2 linked regions of the Tamandua tetradactyla genome follow. Each later gene encodes a partner of the first gene's protein in a complex. Links are inferred from orthologs where the notes say so. Each region holds a gene or a part of one and is shown in the gene's direction. Other genes may lie near its edges. The genes, in order: BBS7 and ARL6.

Region 1 (8,235 bases):
GTCACATAGTTGCATATTCATCATCTCAGAATATTTGCATCAATTTAGGAAAAGAAAAAGACAACAGAAAAAAATAAAACGATAACAGAAAAAAAAAGATTAAACATACCACACCCCTTACCACACTGTTTCTTAAGCTTACTGTATTGAAAGCTCAGCGTTGTCTAAGTGCCTGCTGCATTAAATTTACTGAAGACACTTGACATTATGTTCACAATGTAGAGAAGCTCGGATTTATAGACCTAAAATAGGGAACAATATAAAATAAGATCTAGTATCTTCAAACAGTTCTGTGCACTATAAAAAGTTAGAAATCACATGAATATGTTGTGATTATTAAAATAAATTTGAGAACCATTTAAGAATAGCTCTTTTATGCAATCATGTCCAATATATTATTTCAAATCCCTAAGCCAAGTGAAAGCAGTTTTTGTAAATGAGAAGGGAAATTGTCTTACTGAGCAGGAGAACTGAAGCTACGTTGATTAATTGTGTGGCTGGATCTTAGTGACTTGTTCTTCCAAAACCGGTTTACGCCATCAGGGCTCCGGATGTCGGGGGTAGAAGCGTTTCAGGGTGTGATGCCCAAGGAGCAACCATGATCATGCTTTCCATTTCTCCCCTTAGTTTTTTAAAAAATAAATCTAAAATGGCTGTTTTTCTGCTTTTAAAAAAAGTAAGTTTCCACATTTTTACCAAGGGAGCACACTAGTGAAGGGCAATTTGTCTTCAGGACTCAGTCGCTCGGGAAACCACCGCTAGACGTATTTACGGTTTAACTTGAAGGCAATTTAAATGGCTTTGGTTCTTCATCATCAGTTGCTTAGTGGTTGCCCATAATGGCTGCTTGACCACCACAAGGTAAAAGGACGAGTTACCGAGGAGCATGATACTCCTGCAAACCGATCTGAAGGCCTGTGCTCTTCACCACATCTGAGATACAATCAATCATCTGCTGGTTTTTAGTACCTCAAAACATGTTTACAAAGGGAAAATATGGTGGCAATTTATTTATTTATTTAGAATAAAAACTCTTCATATCTGCTAGCGACTTAGTTGAGAAGTGTTTAAAAAATAATAGTTCGAACTTTTGTTAATCATTCAGAGACAAAACACAGCTTTTAAAATAATAAGTTACCTTTTTTTTGGATGCAGAATGAAAGAACTCTGAATATTTTATTTTGCAAGCTCTTTTTCTGTCAATTTTCAATGCCATGACATTTTTTCATTTCAATGCTTTAAAATAAATTTGATCTTCAAAATAAACTTTTTCTACATGATTAAAGTGAAATAAAGAGTGAGCTTTACTTGTTAAATGGAAACTATTCTTTACCAATTTGTTTTTATTGTAAATATTGTAGAGATTGTATAAAGTTGAATTTTATAATGCTACCTTAATTAGATAGCAATTTATTGTGAATTTTTTTCTTTAAAATTACCTTTCTATCATGTACAATGAAAAAACGACACACATTTTAAATCCCTAAGGGCTTTGTGCAATTATAGCACTGGATTAGAAAGCTTCTAAAGTCTTATCCATCCCTGGACTATGCATCATACTCCCCAAAGGTCATTAAAAAAAAAGAATTTCTGCCCACTTATCAGGTTTTCAACATTCTGATGGTTGGCTTGTTATTGCACATAAACAGCAATAATGATATCTGTACCATTTCCCTCAAATTGTTAACATAGTGCCAGGGAGGAGGGAAACAAGAAATACACAGTGGGAGGATTTAGTATCCACGGTTGTGACATAACCCTTTTTTGCAATCTTTGGGACAGTAGAATGCCTACTATGTTTAGTTTCTTACTCACTTGTTTATTGTAGTCACAGTGTTTTTTTACTAATGGGTATGAATTAGTAAAAAATTGTATAGAATTGTATAATTCTATACAATTATATTTTATCCTATCTCCTCTGTGGTTTCATGTTGCAATTTACTTCTAAAATTTATCACTAAAGTAATTTCTGTGGCATTTAAAATTGATATATATTGTTCCCAACTTGCTAAACAGCTATACTATCTTCATATATTGTTGCCTTCCTTAATATGGAGTTATTTTAGCCTCAAAAAAGAATTGTCTGGGATATACTAGAACTTAGGCAAAACTTTTTCAGATTATTCTTCTGCAAGAAATAATTTATCTTCCAAAAAGCACTCTTCTCAGGGTTTTAACTCTTCTTGTTTCACAATCATTTGTGAACTGAGCTCTCCCCTAATAGCCCACACGAGACAGAAAAGGAAGTGTACTTATCTACGTCCAAGGCAGAACGCTGTGAGCACTAAAGAAGGACCTACAGAAGTGAGCGAAGGGAATATCAGCTCTTAGGTCACGAAAGCCAGAGGTTCCCAAAGAGCCGTGTGCTGACCCCAGGGCGGGAGTGGGGAAGGCTGAGGCCAAGGGAGTTTGATATTTTGAAACTAAATAATACTAAGACTAACTTTATGTTTTCACTGGGCTTGCATTTGCACTGTGCAGGCATTGCAGGCAATAGTGCTGGTGCCTGAATGGGAGCAGGGACTCTAAGCTATACAGTACTAACAGCCATTAGAGTCATCATGCCACACACTGGTAGGAAACAAAAAAAAAAGGCTCATATAAAAATGTCCTTTGTGGAAAAAAGATTTATTTTGCCTGGAAACTAAATTTTCTGTAGCACATAATCTAACACTACTTGTCTGGATAGCTCATTTAAACAATCAAAACACAGGGAGACCAGATAGCTTAATGTAATGCCTGGATACATCCTAGAGTATATTAAACAGATAATCAAAAAATATTGACAAAATACCTTGAGGGCTGGGATAAAAAATATGGAACTATTAAACTTTATCACTGGAGAAACCCCTGATACTGTGTTAGATTGTAGGGATACCCCAATCAATAGACCAAACCCTTGATCCTGAGGCTTCCTCTTGTGAAGCTTATGTAGGTAGCGGAAAAGCTTAACCTACCTATAAGTGTGTCTAAGAGTTACCTCCAGAGGACCTCTTGTTGCTCAGATGTGACCCCTCTCTTTCTAAGCCGAACTCTGTAAGTGAAATCATTGCCCTCCCTCCTACATGGACCTGACATCCAAGGGTGAAAGTCTCCCTGGCGGCATGGGAGAGGACTCCCAGGGATGGCCCTGGCGCCATCAGATATATAATGCCATCCTGACCAACAGGGGAAAAGAAGTGTAACAAATGAGGTATCAGTAGCTGAGAGAGTTCAAATAGAGTCGAGAGGCTACTCTGGAGGTCACTCTTATGCAAACTTCAATGAGACATTACTACCTATCATAACTTGCCAACCCCAACCAAAACCATTCCAGCCAAGCCTAAAGAACACCTAGAGCATTATATAAGATTCTACAAAGGTTCCATGCACTAGGGTAACTTTCCAGAAACTTACAACCTCCAGATGGGTCCCTAGACAAGATAAGTCTTGAAACCTAGAGGGCCCAGCGTCTCCAGAACATCAGCTAGTTCCATCTCACTACCCCATATTACTGATAGCCCCTTCCAACATGAAAAAGTTAGAATAGGCATAATCCAAATACCCCTAAAGAATGAGAGAAAGATCAAAGGTGATGGTAGAGTTATACAGAGAAGGTTGTGTTTAACAAATGAGGATGATCACTGAATCCTTATATTGATATTTCTTTTAGTCTTAGTACCTTAGAGCAGCTGGAAGTAAACGCCAAAAATTGTGGAATTGTAACCCACACCAGATTGTGAAATCTGTTCTACAACTAATCGTTGCAATGTGCTTTGAAATTTATTGCTTTTTTGTATATTGATTATATTTCACAAAAAAGAAAAAAAGTCGATTGTGATGGTAAAAATATTTGTCCCTCCAGTGTTCTGGAGCAGCTAGAAGGAAAAATCTGAGATGATGATATGGTAGCCCATGACAGACTCTGGGATCTGTCTACTTGTTGAACAGTGCTTTGAAAACTACTGCTTTTTCTTTCTTTGCTTTGTATATATGTTATATTATACAATAAAAAAGTAAACAAAAAAGTCCTTTGTGAAGGAATAATTGTTTATTGTAAATATCAACTCGAGTATATATTTTTAAATTGTGATGATATGGAAGGTATGCATAAAGGACTTCTGCTGAATACCAAAGTACATTGACATTATTTGATTTGCTACCTGAGCTTGCTCCTCTTTCACTGAATACTATGTGAAACGACATCTGCCAGACAAATTGTGATTCTTCAGACTTGGGTATTTGGCATACATCTCATGAATTCAAGAAGGGAGCCTATCAGTTCAAGGAAAACAAACATGTTGGCTATGCTTAAAATTCAGATTTTCAAGTACTAATTGGAAATTTGGAAAATCTGTATCCATCATTTGATTTTGACAGCTTTCTAATACTGCAAGACTTTCTGATGAGACCTGCGGTGATATTAACAAATTGGATTTTTGATATTGAATAAAGAAGCCACATTCTACACTGCAACTGACACTTTAAAAAACCTACTACTTGTTGGATTTGGGTAAAATTTTCTTCGTATACTTCAACAAAAACAATTTCTAGCAATAGATTGAGTGCAGAAGCAGAATTGGGATTCCGACTGTCTTCTGTTAAGGCAGATAGTAAAATAGATTTGCAAACAGTAGCACTTTTTAAAACTTCTTAATTTTAGAAAATATCTTTTTAATTCAACTACGTTATTTGTGTAATGGGATTTTATTGTGTTTTTAGTAAATTTAGTTTTTGAAATTTTAGTTCTAATTTCTAAAATGGCAAATATCAGAAACTCACATAACCAAAGCTCTCCGTGGTCCTCAACTCAAGAGTTTTCTAAAGGGGTTAAGGCTAAGAGCTGGGGCACGGCTGGAAATTAACGGCTGTGCAGGTGGAGCCTGACTCTCGCGGGGATCCGTTCCCGTGTCAGATGCAACGGGTCGGAATCCATGCTGGCCTCGCCCCAGGAGCGGTCCCACTCCGACAGCCGGGACTGCGCAGCTAGGAGGCGTTCCCTGTCTCCATGGAAACCGCCCTCGCGGTCTCCAGGACCCGCCTCACGTTCCTCTCCGCCTCTGATTGGAGCAGGCTAAGCCGTGGGCGGGCCGTTGGGAGGGCGGAGGGCGGGCTGTACATGCGCCCAGGGCCCCGCGGGTGAGCGTGCTGACGTCACGCCGCCGCTGCGCTGACGCCACCCCAGCGCTCCCGTCGCCGCCTCTGGGGTTGCGGGTCGAGGGCCGCGGGGGCGTCTGCGCGGGGCTGAGGCGCGGTCCAGGGCGGTCCTGGGCTGCGACCCCGCGCCATGGATCTCAGCCTGAACCGGACTGACTATTTGCAGGTATGTCCGCGGGGCGGGCGGGCGCCGCGCTGGGTGGGCCTCTCCCCGAGCGGCCCTTCCTTCACGGGAGTGGTCGGGGGCCAGGTGGGCGCCGCCCTCCTGGACGCCCGGTGAGGACGTGAGGGACGCGGCGGGCTCCGGCGGGGCGGGCAGGCGCCTGTCCAGGGCCGGGGACGTGTGTCGGGCCCCGAACCGGACTGCACCTGCCCGGAGCCGGGGGTGCTCCTGGACGTGTGACGGGCCCCCACCGGACTGCACCTGCCCACACGTGCCCTGGACGTGTGACGGGCCCCGACCCGGACTGCACCTGCCCACACGTGCCCTGGACGTGTGACGGGCCCCGACCCGGACTGCACCTGCCCACACGTGCCCTGGACGTGTGACGGGCCCCGACCCGGACTGCACCTGCCCGGACGTGCCCTGGACGTGTGACGGGCCCCGACCCGGACTGCACCTGCTCGGACGTGCCCTGGACGTGTGACGGGCCCCGACCCGGACTGCACCTGCCCAGACGTGCCCTGGACGTGTGACGGGCCCCGACCCGGACTGCACCTGCCCACACGTGCCCTGGACCTGTGACGGGCCCCGACCCGGACTGCACCTGCCCACACATGCCCTGGACGTGTGACAAGCCCTGACCCAGACTGCACCTGCCCAGACGTGCCCTGGACGTGTGACGGGCCCCGACCCGGACTGCACCTGCCCACACGTGCCCTGGACGTGTGACGGGCCCCGACCCGGACTGCACCTGCCCACACATGCCCTGGACGTGTGACAAGCCCTGACCCGGACTGCACCTGCCCAGACGTGCCCTGGACGTCTGACGGACCCCGACCCGGACTGCACCTGCCCAGACGTGCCCTGGACGTCTGATGGGCCCCCACCCGGACTGCACCTGCCCACACGTGCCCTGGACGTGTGACGGGCCCCCACCTGGACTGCACCTGCCTGGAGCCGGGGGTGCTCCTGGACGTGTGACAGGCCCCGACCCGGACTGCACCTGCCCACACGTGCCCTGGACCTGTGACGGGCCCCCACCCGGACTGCACCTGCCCAGACGTGCCCTGGACGTGTGACGGGCCCCCACCTGGACTGCACCTGCCCAGACGTGCCCTGGACGTGTGACGGGCCCCCACCCGGACTGCACCTGCCCAGACGTGCCCTGGACGTGTGACGGGCCCCGACCCGGACTGCACCTGGGCCCTGTCCCCCCCTTTCCCTGGTGCAGCCACCTTGCACCGCAAACGCCCAAATCTCCATTTATATCCGTCCCTTCTCCCAGAAACTATTACTTTAGACTGAGCTTGACTGCACCAGCCAGACCATGATAAAAGCAATGGCAGCCCTTTATTGAGCATCTAATTCAGTCTAAGAATTTAATATACGTTTAATCCTAATAAAAAGCCTTCGAAGTAGAACGTATATGACAATCCAGGGACTCAGAGAAAGGAAGTAACTTGCTTAATAGCTAAAAATAATGGCATTTTTTTGTTTTTATTAATTAGAGAAGTTGTAGGTTTCCAGGAAAACCATGAAGAAAGTGGAGTTCTCATGTATCCAGTCCTCACACTCAGTTTTCCCTGTTTACATTTCGTGTTAGTATTACCGTTATTACAATTGGTGAAGCACATTGTATTCTAGTTTCTGATTATGCATTTGCATATTCTAATTATCTTGTATAAGTGAGGTCAAACAATATTTGTCCTTTTTGTGCTGACTTATTTTACCTGCTGTCTTCAGGGTTCATCCATGTTGTTAGCATATGTCACAATTTTGTTCCTTTTTAGGATTGAATAATACTCCGTTGTATGTATGCACCCCATTTTGATTATCTGTTTATCTGTTGAAGGACACTTGGTTTGTGTCTACCTTTTGGCAGTTGTGGATAATGTCCCTATGAATGCTGATGTGAAACATTATTTGAATCCCTGCTTTCATTTCCTTTGGGTGTATGCCTAAAGTGGGATTGCCAGGTTAGATGGTAATTCTGTGCTTAACTTTCTGAGGAGCCACCACACTGTGTTCCATGGGAGGTACTTCATTTTACGTTCCCACCAGCAGTGTTCCTGTTTCTCCACGTTTTCTCCTACAAACTTGCTATTTTCTGGTTTTCAGTAGTAACCATTTTAGTGGGTGTGAAATGGTATCTGTGGTTTTGATTTACTTTTCCCAAATGGCTAATGATGTCTAGCATCTTTTCATGTGTTTTTTTTTGTGTGTGTATTGTTGGAGAAATTTGAGTCTTTGACCCTGTGCCGTTTTGAAAGGTTGTGTGTACCCTAGAAAAGCCATGCTTTAATTCTAATCTCATTTTGTAAAGGCAGCCATTTCTTCTAATCCCTATTCAATACTGTATGCTTGAAACTGTAATTAGATCATCTCCGTGGAGATGTGACTCAATCAAGAGTGGTTGTTAAACTGGATTAGGTGGAGACATGTCTCCACCCATTTGAGTGGGTCTTGATTAGTTTAATGGAGTCCTGCAAAAGAGGAAACATTGTGGAGAATGAGAGATTCAGAGGGAACAGAGAATTCTGCAGCACCATGAAGCAGAGTCCACCAGCCAGGAACCTTTGGAAATGAAGAAGGAAAACGCCTCCTGGGGAGCTTCATGAAACCAGAAGCCAGGAGAGAAAGCTAGCAGATGACACTGTGTTCATGTGCCTTTCCAGATGAGAGAGAAACCCTGACTGTGTTCACCATGTGCCTTCTCACTTGAGAGAGAGACCCTGAGCTTCATTGACCTTCTTGAACCAAGGTATCTTTCCCTGGATGCCTTAGATTGGACATTTCTATAGACTTGTTTTAATTGGGACATTTTTTCGGCCTTAGAACTGTAAACTAGCAACTTATTAAATTCCCCTTTTGAAAGCCATTCCATTTCTGGTTTATTGCATTCTGGCAGCTAGCAAACTAGAACAGACCTATTTTTA
Region 2 (7,929 bases), on another chromosome or scaffold:
GTATTTCTAAAAAGTCAAGATTAGAACAAAGCAATAATCACTGGATTTGGTAACACAGAAGTCAATGATAACCTTGACAAGGCCAGTAGGGAAATAAACGCCTGAGTTCGGAGTGAATTAAGAAGATATATAAAAGAAGGCAGAGTTGGTTTAAACAACTCTGAAGTTTTACCACTAGGGGAGCAAGAGAAATAGGGCAGTAGCAAGACAGAGATGTGGGGCCAAGAGGAGGTTTTACTTTTCTAATAAGATAAAGGATACTAAGGCATAATTATATACTAATGAGAATGATCCCATAGAGAAGGGATAACATTATGCGATAGAAAGCATAATTATAATAGCGAAGGGCTTGAGAAGCAGAGAGGTTTGGATTCAGAGCACAAGTAGAGAGGTTAGTTTTAAATAGAATGGACATAGAACCCCACAGAACTCCAATGGAAAGGAAGGCAATGTAGAATATGCAAATAGGTTAGTAGATTTGTGGTAGAGAGGGTATTACTATGCAAGTAGCTATTTGTGGTAGAGAAGGGTATTACTATGCGAGTAGCTATATTTCAGCAGTAGATAAAACCAGTTTGGGAGGTGGAAAGAGAGTACAAGTTGGAGGAGAGGTATAAATAGTTGGAAAATGGGAAAGTGGATGTATGCACACACATATGTATATATACATATATAATATGCTATAAGGGAAAAATCTATTGTGAAAAAATGTTTTAAGACACGTTTAGTAAATATTTCTGAGACATCTTAATTTGGAACACCTGAAACTGAATTCTGTGCTTTCCAAGAACATTGACAAGAGTCCTCTTTTCCATAATATACAAATTTGGTGAGGACATCTCAATGCCATTGATACTTCTCAATTTCTTTTATTTGATTTTGCATATTGTAGGGGAAAAAGAAACATTTTGTAATTATTCTGTCATAATTCAGAGCGTCTGAAAATTAAAATTTGTTTAATCCTGAAAGATGTCTATTACATGTTCAAGCTGTCAGTTTTTCTCAAAACACTATTTTGAAGGTGTTTGAGCCTCCATATGAATTAAAAAAAAAAACAGGTTCTACTCATTTAGTAAAACAGTTCTTTTGCTTTGCTGTCATATGAAAAAGATCAGTACATTCTCTTATTTAAACAATATGGTTGTTTTGTTCATTGTGCCCTTCCCTAACCTATAGGAAGGATCTGGTCCTTTAGGTTGTGCTTGGTGCTTAGAGAGGTGTTAACTCAATGTGTTGGCATTGAATGATGCAATTTTCTTTTGGATTTGATGTGAAATTAGACTGTGAATAATGGACTAAGATTTGCTCTCCACTTTTCCGCTGTTCTAGCATGGCCATAAAATATAAAGATGTATGTGTACATATAAATATGTATTTGATTAAACACTTTAGATATTTAAATGGCCATGTCAAATTTTAAATGGTAGATGACATATACAGTTGCAGTGTATTCAAGATAATAGTTACAAAAATATTTGTAGCACAAATCCTAAGCTTATTAATATGAAAGAGCACATTATATAAAAATACCTAGATAACGTGTGTCTAGGTTGAGACATTGAATCCCTCAGTTATATTTGACTAATGAAAAACTGCACTGCAGCTGAAAATATTTTTCCTTTCTATAAGTGTATGATAAAAAATGTACCTCTGTATAATTTGCCATGAAGCCGTTTATATTAATTATGGATTTTAGCACTGTACTCTTGCAAGAGGGGAAAAGATCTCAATTTGGGAGAATAAGGAAGTGCAGATCTATGTATTTTTTCTCTATGGCATTATATCACCATTTAGAACTTCAATATATGTCTTTCACTCAGGATCCTTACACAGCCTTTGTTCTCTTTTCTGGTTATAATCACAAAAAGGTAGAGAAACACAGTGTAAGAGTGTTCACCACTGAACTGCAATCTACCTATCACCTACTTTACTATAGCAGTGAAGTAGTCCAGATTTAGTTGAAGGTGGTATTATTCTCATCTTATAAAAATTTACAATAATATTATGATGTTCCATGTAAATTTTCATGTGCTGGCATGCTTACAAGTTAATAGTGTTATAGAATGCTCAGCTCTCAACATGAAGGATTGCTTATGGTGAATTGCATTACATATGTCATCTATTTGCAGAATATGGTGTTTAGCAAAACTACCTGCTGAGCAACATAATAAAATTTTTGTACAAAGTACAAATTACTAATTATTGTTATTTTATTTTTCTATGATTTCATAAGAAGCATTATCAGGGTCTTACAGCTGAAGTAAACATGTTTATTAAAATATCTATTAGCAAATAAAAGTTACAGTTCTGGTGGATGAATTTGTGATTTTTTTATAATGCTCTATTGATATGTATTTAATGTAATTTATTTTTTAGTCTATTAAATTGAGATGCTCTTTAGACACTAGTAATTCTGGATATAAACTCACAGTTGTTATTTTTCATAATAATGTCATTAAGGTCAAGAGTTTTGCATTTTATTCTTGGGCATACTATGGAATTTTAAATGCACTGCTTATGACACATCCACATTGTGACCAACAATCCATATAAATCACTATAAATAACTGATACAACATTTTTTTTAGGGATTTTATATTGGCAAAATATTTTATGATATTTAAGTGAATTAAATTGTTCACTGCAGAGGTTATAATACAGTACACAAAATGCAGATGATCAAAAAAAGATGAATAGCATCCAGATATTCAGACACAGCTTTAAACTATCAATGTCATTCAAAAATATTCCAATAAATTGTAAATCCTGGGTTTTCTATATTCTTATAAAAGTTAATGGATGACCATAAGAGACTACAGAAAAAAGCATCTTGGATTAATCAGAAGAGCACTATGTTCATTGTATCTCATTCATCTCTTTCATAATTCTTCCACCACAGCTCCAAAAGCCTGTATGAATTAAAACTCGTAATAAGGTACCTGAAACTCTCTTCTCTTCCTCGGGTATTTTAAGTAGCTTTTGTAAAACTTATTATTCTCCTAATAAAATGAACAGAACCTAACTAACTTCTTAAATCAGGTGGAACAATTTTTATGCAGAGCCTCTGAGTGTACTTTTGAGGGAAGTTTCAGTGGACAAAACACCAAACCAGAAGATTTGACCATATGAAATATTTAAGATTTTTAAGGTATGCTTTAAAAGCTGCCATTTTCTAGAAAACTAGAAATAAATTGCGTTTCATGACCACTATCTCATCTCTAATAATAATGTTAAAAGTCATCACACCAATTATATGTATCTAAGACTAAAATTTGTTCAGCTAATTTTTTTTAAACCCTATGTTATCGGCTTACGTTAACTGAAGAGTTGGATGCCTAATCTACCCCATCATAATATTTCCAGTTTTCACTAGTAAGCAAAACAATTCACCAATGGGCAAAAAATATCAACTCTCAAAAGAAATAAATTAACTCTGTCCCCAAAAGTTTTCTGGAACATAGGATATCTGCTTATGTTATAAGCAGGGGGAAAATGTCATATTCTGACTGTAAGCAAATTTGTTTACAACTCTTAACAAAATGAGTTTTAAGGCCCACAGACATTGTACAGAAAAATGATTAACACCTCCTGTAAATGTCTTTTGGGGTCAGAAGTCAAAGAAACACATTTAAGGATTAGGTCAAATTTAGAGGTTCCATGTAATAAAAATTTCAAGACAAAGGAAGATGAGAAATTATTTTATTGCACACCTACTATGTGTCAAAGATTTATACCCCTATGGTCCACTTAATCTTCAAAACAAGCAGATGAGATCTATATCATCTTTTTTGACGGTGAAGAAGCCAAACAAAAAGAAGGGTTAAATTGGCCCAAGGCCTCAGGAAGAATATATTTCCATACTCCATTTTTTACAAGAACATTTGTAAGCCAGTACTTTTGCAAATACAACTACAAATTCGTTTAGTTTTGACTTTTTAAATTTTTTGTGTTTGAACGATTTCTATCTTGCAACCACTTCTTTAATTGTAAAAATATCATAACCACATTTGAAAAATTTGAAAAAGTAACAAAAAGCACTTCACAATCATACATGTTCAACCTTCACCCACCTCATCATTATTTTGGTGCAATTCCTAATATCCTTTTCATCCTCCTAATCCAGTTAATAAGTCATATTCATAGGCCAAAGAGCAGATAGGTATTAAACAGCACTAGCTAATAAGAAGGGGAAAAATGACCGCATCCATGGCAAACAAGGGGAATAAGAGATGAAAATTCTTCTTAAGGGAAATTTAAGTCATGAAAGCCATTTACTAAAGATGAAGCTAGTGAGGCAGGGCAGATTGAACAACTGAAAAACAGAGATTTAAAAATCACTGTATCTGTGGTCTGTCTGCTGGAAAGTATATTTTTTAAAGCGTTTTTAAAAGTCTGACAATATTTTATATTTACTTTGAAGATCATTTATTATAAAATCCCAGTACAATTGAAGAAGGTGGCTAATTTTAAGCATTCAGATTAATTCCTTTCCTAACCACCTGCCGATTTAATTCTGGGGCCTGTAACCTAATTAAAGATTACACCTCGAGGAAATCTCTTTCGGAGACCAGAAAGTTACGAAACAGGGGTAAAGGCTTACTTCCACTGTACCAACAATGCCTTTGACCTTTTACACCAGTTTATCTCCTATCTGTACCTATATTCACAGCTTTACTTCTGAAGACTCCTGACTCGGAGGCCTGGCACAGTCAGGACTCCTCCATGCAACCCATCAAGTGGCAGCTGGAGGGTCTGTGCAACGTACAGGGCAATCCCAGCGCACATCTTGCCCAATGGACACAGCCGTGTTGTTCCCGGGAATGACGCACAGACTCCTCCGCGATCCCAGGGCACACCCCGCCCCTGCCCCACCTCCGAGCGCCCAGCTCTGGGGGCTGACATCGCCTAGAGGCTCCAGGACACCAGAACCGAGACACACAAGCGAAGCGGCGAACCAGAAGCCAGGCGTCAGCGGCAGGATCGCATCCCAGCAGGCTGTGCGCGCGCCTACGACTCCCATCATCCTCCCCCGGGGATTACACGCCCGCCCACTCAAGGGTCTGTGACAGTTCATCCAACCATCTGTGCTCAGACCTTCTTTAATAGAATTCATAGGCCTGCTTTTAGCCTCCTTCGGGAGCTCTTCAGTCCGAGAACCCAAAGCAAAGCGGAGATCGCCTAACACACCCGAGGAGGCGGAGCTTCGGGACCGGAAGAAGCCGCTGTTGCCAAGGGAACGCCCAGCGCGTAGGCGCCGGCCCTAGCCCTGATGCTCCAGTTGAGGCCGAGGCCGAGGTTGAGGCTGAGATTAAGACTACGGCTAGGAGTACCGTTTCACCCAGCTCCTAGAGGCGGCTTCGTTTTGGATCAGACGTCCTTTCTGTGGGGACTTAGAGAGGAAGGCTGAGAGAACCCTGGGCCGAATTCCCACCAGAGACCGATACAGGTGAGTGCGCCTACCCCTGTTCCTCACCTGCTCCTGGGCTCTCAGGCTTAACCTAAGAGACCCGGTATCTCTCCCCCTCCTCAGTTCTTCCCAACCTGCGCTGCCCCACCCCAGGCCGTTTTAGAATTGCCCTTTCCCACGGCAATGGGCTTATTAGTTGTTTCTTTTGTGTGAGAGGTGGAAAAGAAGTGGGCTTTTGAAGCGAATACTCGGGACCCTAGAAAATTTATTGGGCTGATTTGGGGAATTTTGTATGGTTGGTTTTAATACTGTCCAACTTGTGCTTTATTTTGGTGTGTGGAAGGTGTAATTAAAACGTTATTATAAAAAACTGAAAGCCGAATAAAGATGTGTATTCGGTGTAATAAGGATGCGCAATAATGCACTAAACAAATGTTTTAAAAGTGTCACTTTGTAAAGTTTTCTCTACGGGACCACTATCTCTCTGCATCTCTTACCTTCCATCCCATTAACTGTGGATAACATTCTAATTCTTCTGGACTTTTTTGGTACATACAATCTTAAGAAACAGTTCCTCACGGTACTACCAAGAGAATTTTACAGGCTAGTCTGTAGAGAGAGGGGAATGTAAGATATAAATTGGAAAAGTAGATTGGAGCCAGATTGTGAACAACCTTGAAAGCTGTGCATGGAAGTTGGGATTTTTTTTTTTTCCTGAAAACCAGTCCTTCTCAACAGTGACTGCACTTCAGATGCTTTTTAAAATTCAGATGCCATGGTCCAATACTTGGAGATTCTGATTCAGCAGATGGTTGCAATATGCACCTAGGGTTGAATATCATGGCTACAAGAGTAGGTAGCCACAGAAGACTCTGTTGTATCCTCTATTGTGCACTAAGACATTATAAATACGTGTTGAGTGGCTTGACTTATCTTTTATTTCCATTTTTCATGCATCAGAACTAAACTTATTCAAGGAAAATTATAACTACTAAAAAATAGAAACATTTATAGGGCTGTGTACTTGTGTATAAAGCAACTTCAATAAAGGTAATTTTATTTTAGAACACTTGATTTCTTTTTTAAATGGTTTGTCCAAAACGTTTCAATAGCAAGAATCAGGTGTTTGACAATCCATGGAGAGGGGAAAGAAAGGCACAATAAAAGATGCTATAAAAAACCTCAGGTTTTTGACAAAATATACTTTATAGTAGATGCAAGGGGGAAGGGAGAAATGTAAGAAATTGTAATATTTTAAAAATCTATTCAGAAGTTTGTGGAAAGTGGAAGACAGGATATAAGCATGCATATCAAAATGTCTTACAATAATGAAGTGAGCAATAACAAAGTTATTTTGAGTTAAGATAGTCTGAGTGAATTGTTTCATATCAGAAGTCTGTTTAAACAGATTCTACAAATGACAAAGCTTAAAATGAGAAATAAAGAAATGGATTAATTTTTTAATCCCCAGCATAAGGAGATAAATTTTTTTAAATGACAAAATTGGAAGTACTTGAGATCATACTCATCCCTTGGGTAAACCAACTGGAGCTGCTCTCCTAGGCCCCACACTTGAGTGGAGCACTGCTCTTTCTGTTTTCTGAGTGTGATTGAAATTAATTTTTGAAATTTTTATCCATAGTGATCTCCCAGTGGGCCTTAGCAAAATGTTGATTGTGCAGCCTCCTTTCAGATGCAGTTATCTTGCAAGTGTCTTACTGGTTAAGTTGCTGCAGTTTCACATCCTGCAAGAGTGCTTGCCTGGGATGGTGTAGAATAAAAATATTGCAGGAGTTGTAAGATGATGGGCGTACTGGACCTTAACTGAAGATAAAAATAAATCAACTGGTGGTATTAATTTTTAGTTAACTTTGAAAATGATCATTTGAAAAGTAACTAGAAATATTTGGAACACAGGTGTACTGCGATTATTCTGTAGCATTCCCTGAAATAGTTGAAATCTGGCAAAGAGATATCTCTCTTGTCGCACCAGATAGTGAGGTTTTTGGGTGATAGGCCCAACAAGAGCTCCTTTGAAATTTCTTTAGAAACCTGAAGTCTAGGTTAACAGTTCCTTAGAAGTATATGAACAAACACAAAGTTACTATAAAGAGCAAGCAGTATGTCAGCAACAGATTTATTTAACTTCAGAATACATCTGTCTTTGGGTTGCTGATGGAATTTTTTGAAGTATGCATTGTCAGGATTTTTTTTTTCTAAAGAATTGGTACACATACAAATGAATACTTCAGGGACAAGTTAACAAAGAAACTTCAAAGTACTTGAGAGATGTAATATGATAAGTAATCAAAGTTCTTTTAAAATAATACTTAATAGGGTGTTTCAGATAAATTATAGTTAAGAAAACATTTAGTAAACACTAATAAAATTATGTGTATATGTGTATTTATCCATAAATTGTTTTCCAAATGGATTTGTAGTGACTTACAAAGACTATATGTTAAAGGAAAATAAGGATAAATATGTCAGTTAGGTTTCTTTGTCTTTATTTATAGAAAACC

The links.
Region 2: the proteins of BBS7 (region 1) and ARL6 are in contact, whole or in part, in a cryo-EM structure (PDB 6VBV), measured with the Bos taurus proteins. The link is inferred for Tamandua tetradactyla from reciprocal best matches to the Homo sapiens genes BBS7 and ARL6. Residues at the interface, in NP_001178275.2 of Bos taurus: Leu3, Ile249, Val250, Gly251, Asp300, Gly301, Tyr302, Asp303, Thr319, Glu320, Pro321, His323, Lys324, Glu325, Ser326, Gly327, Pro328; in NP_001069250.1 of Bos taurus: Met132, Asp133, Arg135, Thr139, Ser140, Val141, Ser144, Trp157, His158, Ile159, Cys160, Ala161, Asp163, Lys166.

Annotation. Positions count from the first base shown.
Region 1 is NC_135348.1:46,866,821-46,875,055, forward strand, and holds the start of BBS7 (BBSome complex member BBS7), read left to right. Parts: upstream 1-5,167; 5' UTR 5,168-5,266; coding exon 5,267-5,302; intron 5,303-6,618; exon of another isoform or gene 6,619-8,060; intron 8,061-8,235.
Region 2 is NC_135336.1:52,249,469-52,257,397, reverse strand, and holds the start of ARL6 (ADP-ribosylation factor-like protein 6), read left to right. Parts: upstream 1-4,918; 5' UTR 4,919-5,446; intron 5,447-7,929. UniProt on the Homo sapiens protein: Involved in membrane protein trafficking at the base of the ciliary organelle. Mediates recruitment onto plasma membrane of the BBSome complex which would constitute a coat complex required for sorting of specific membrane proteins to the primary cilia.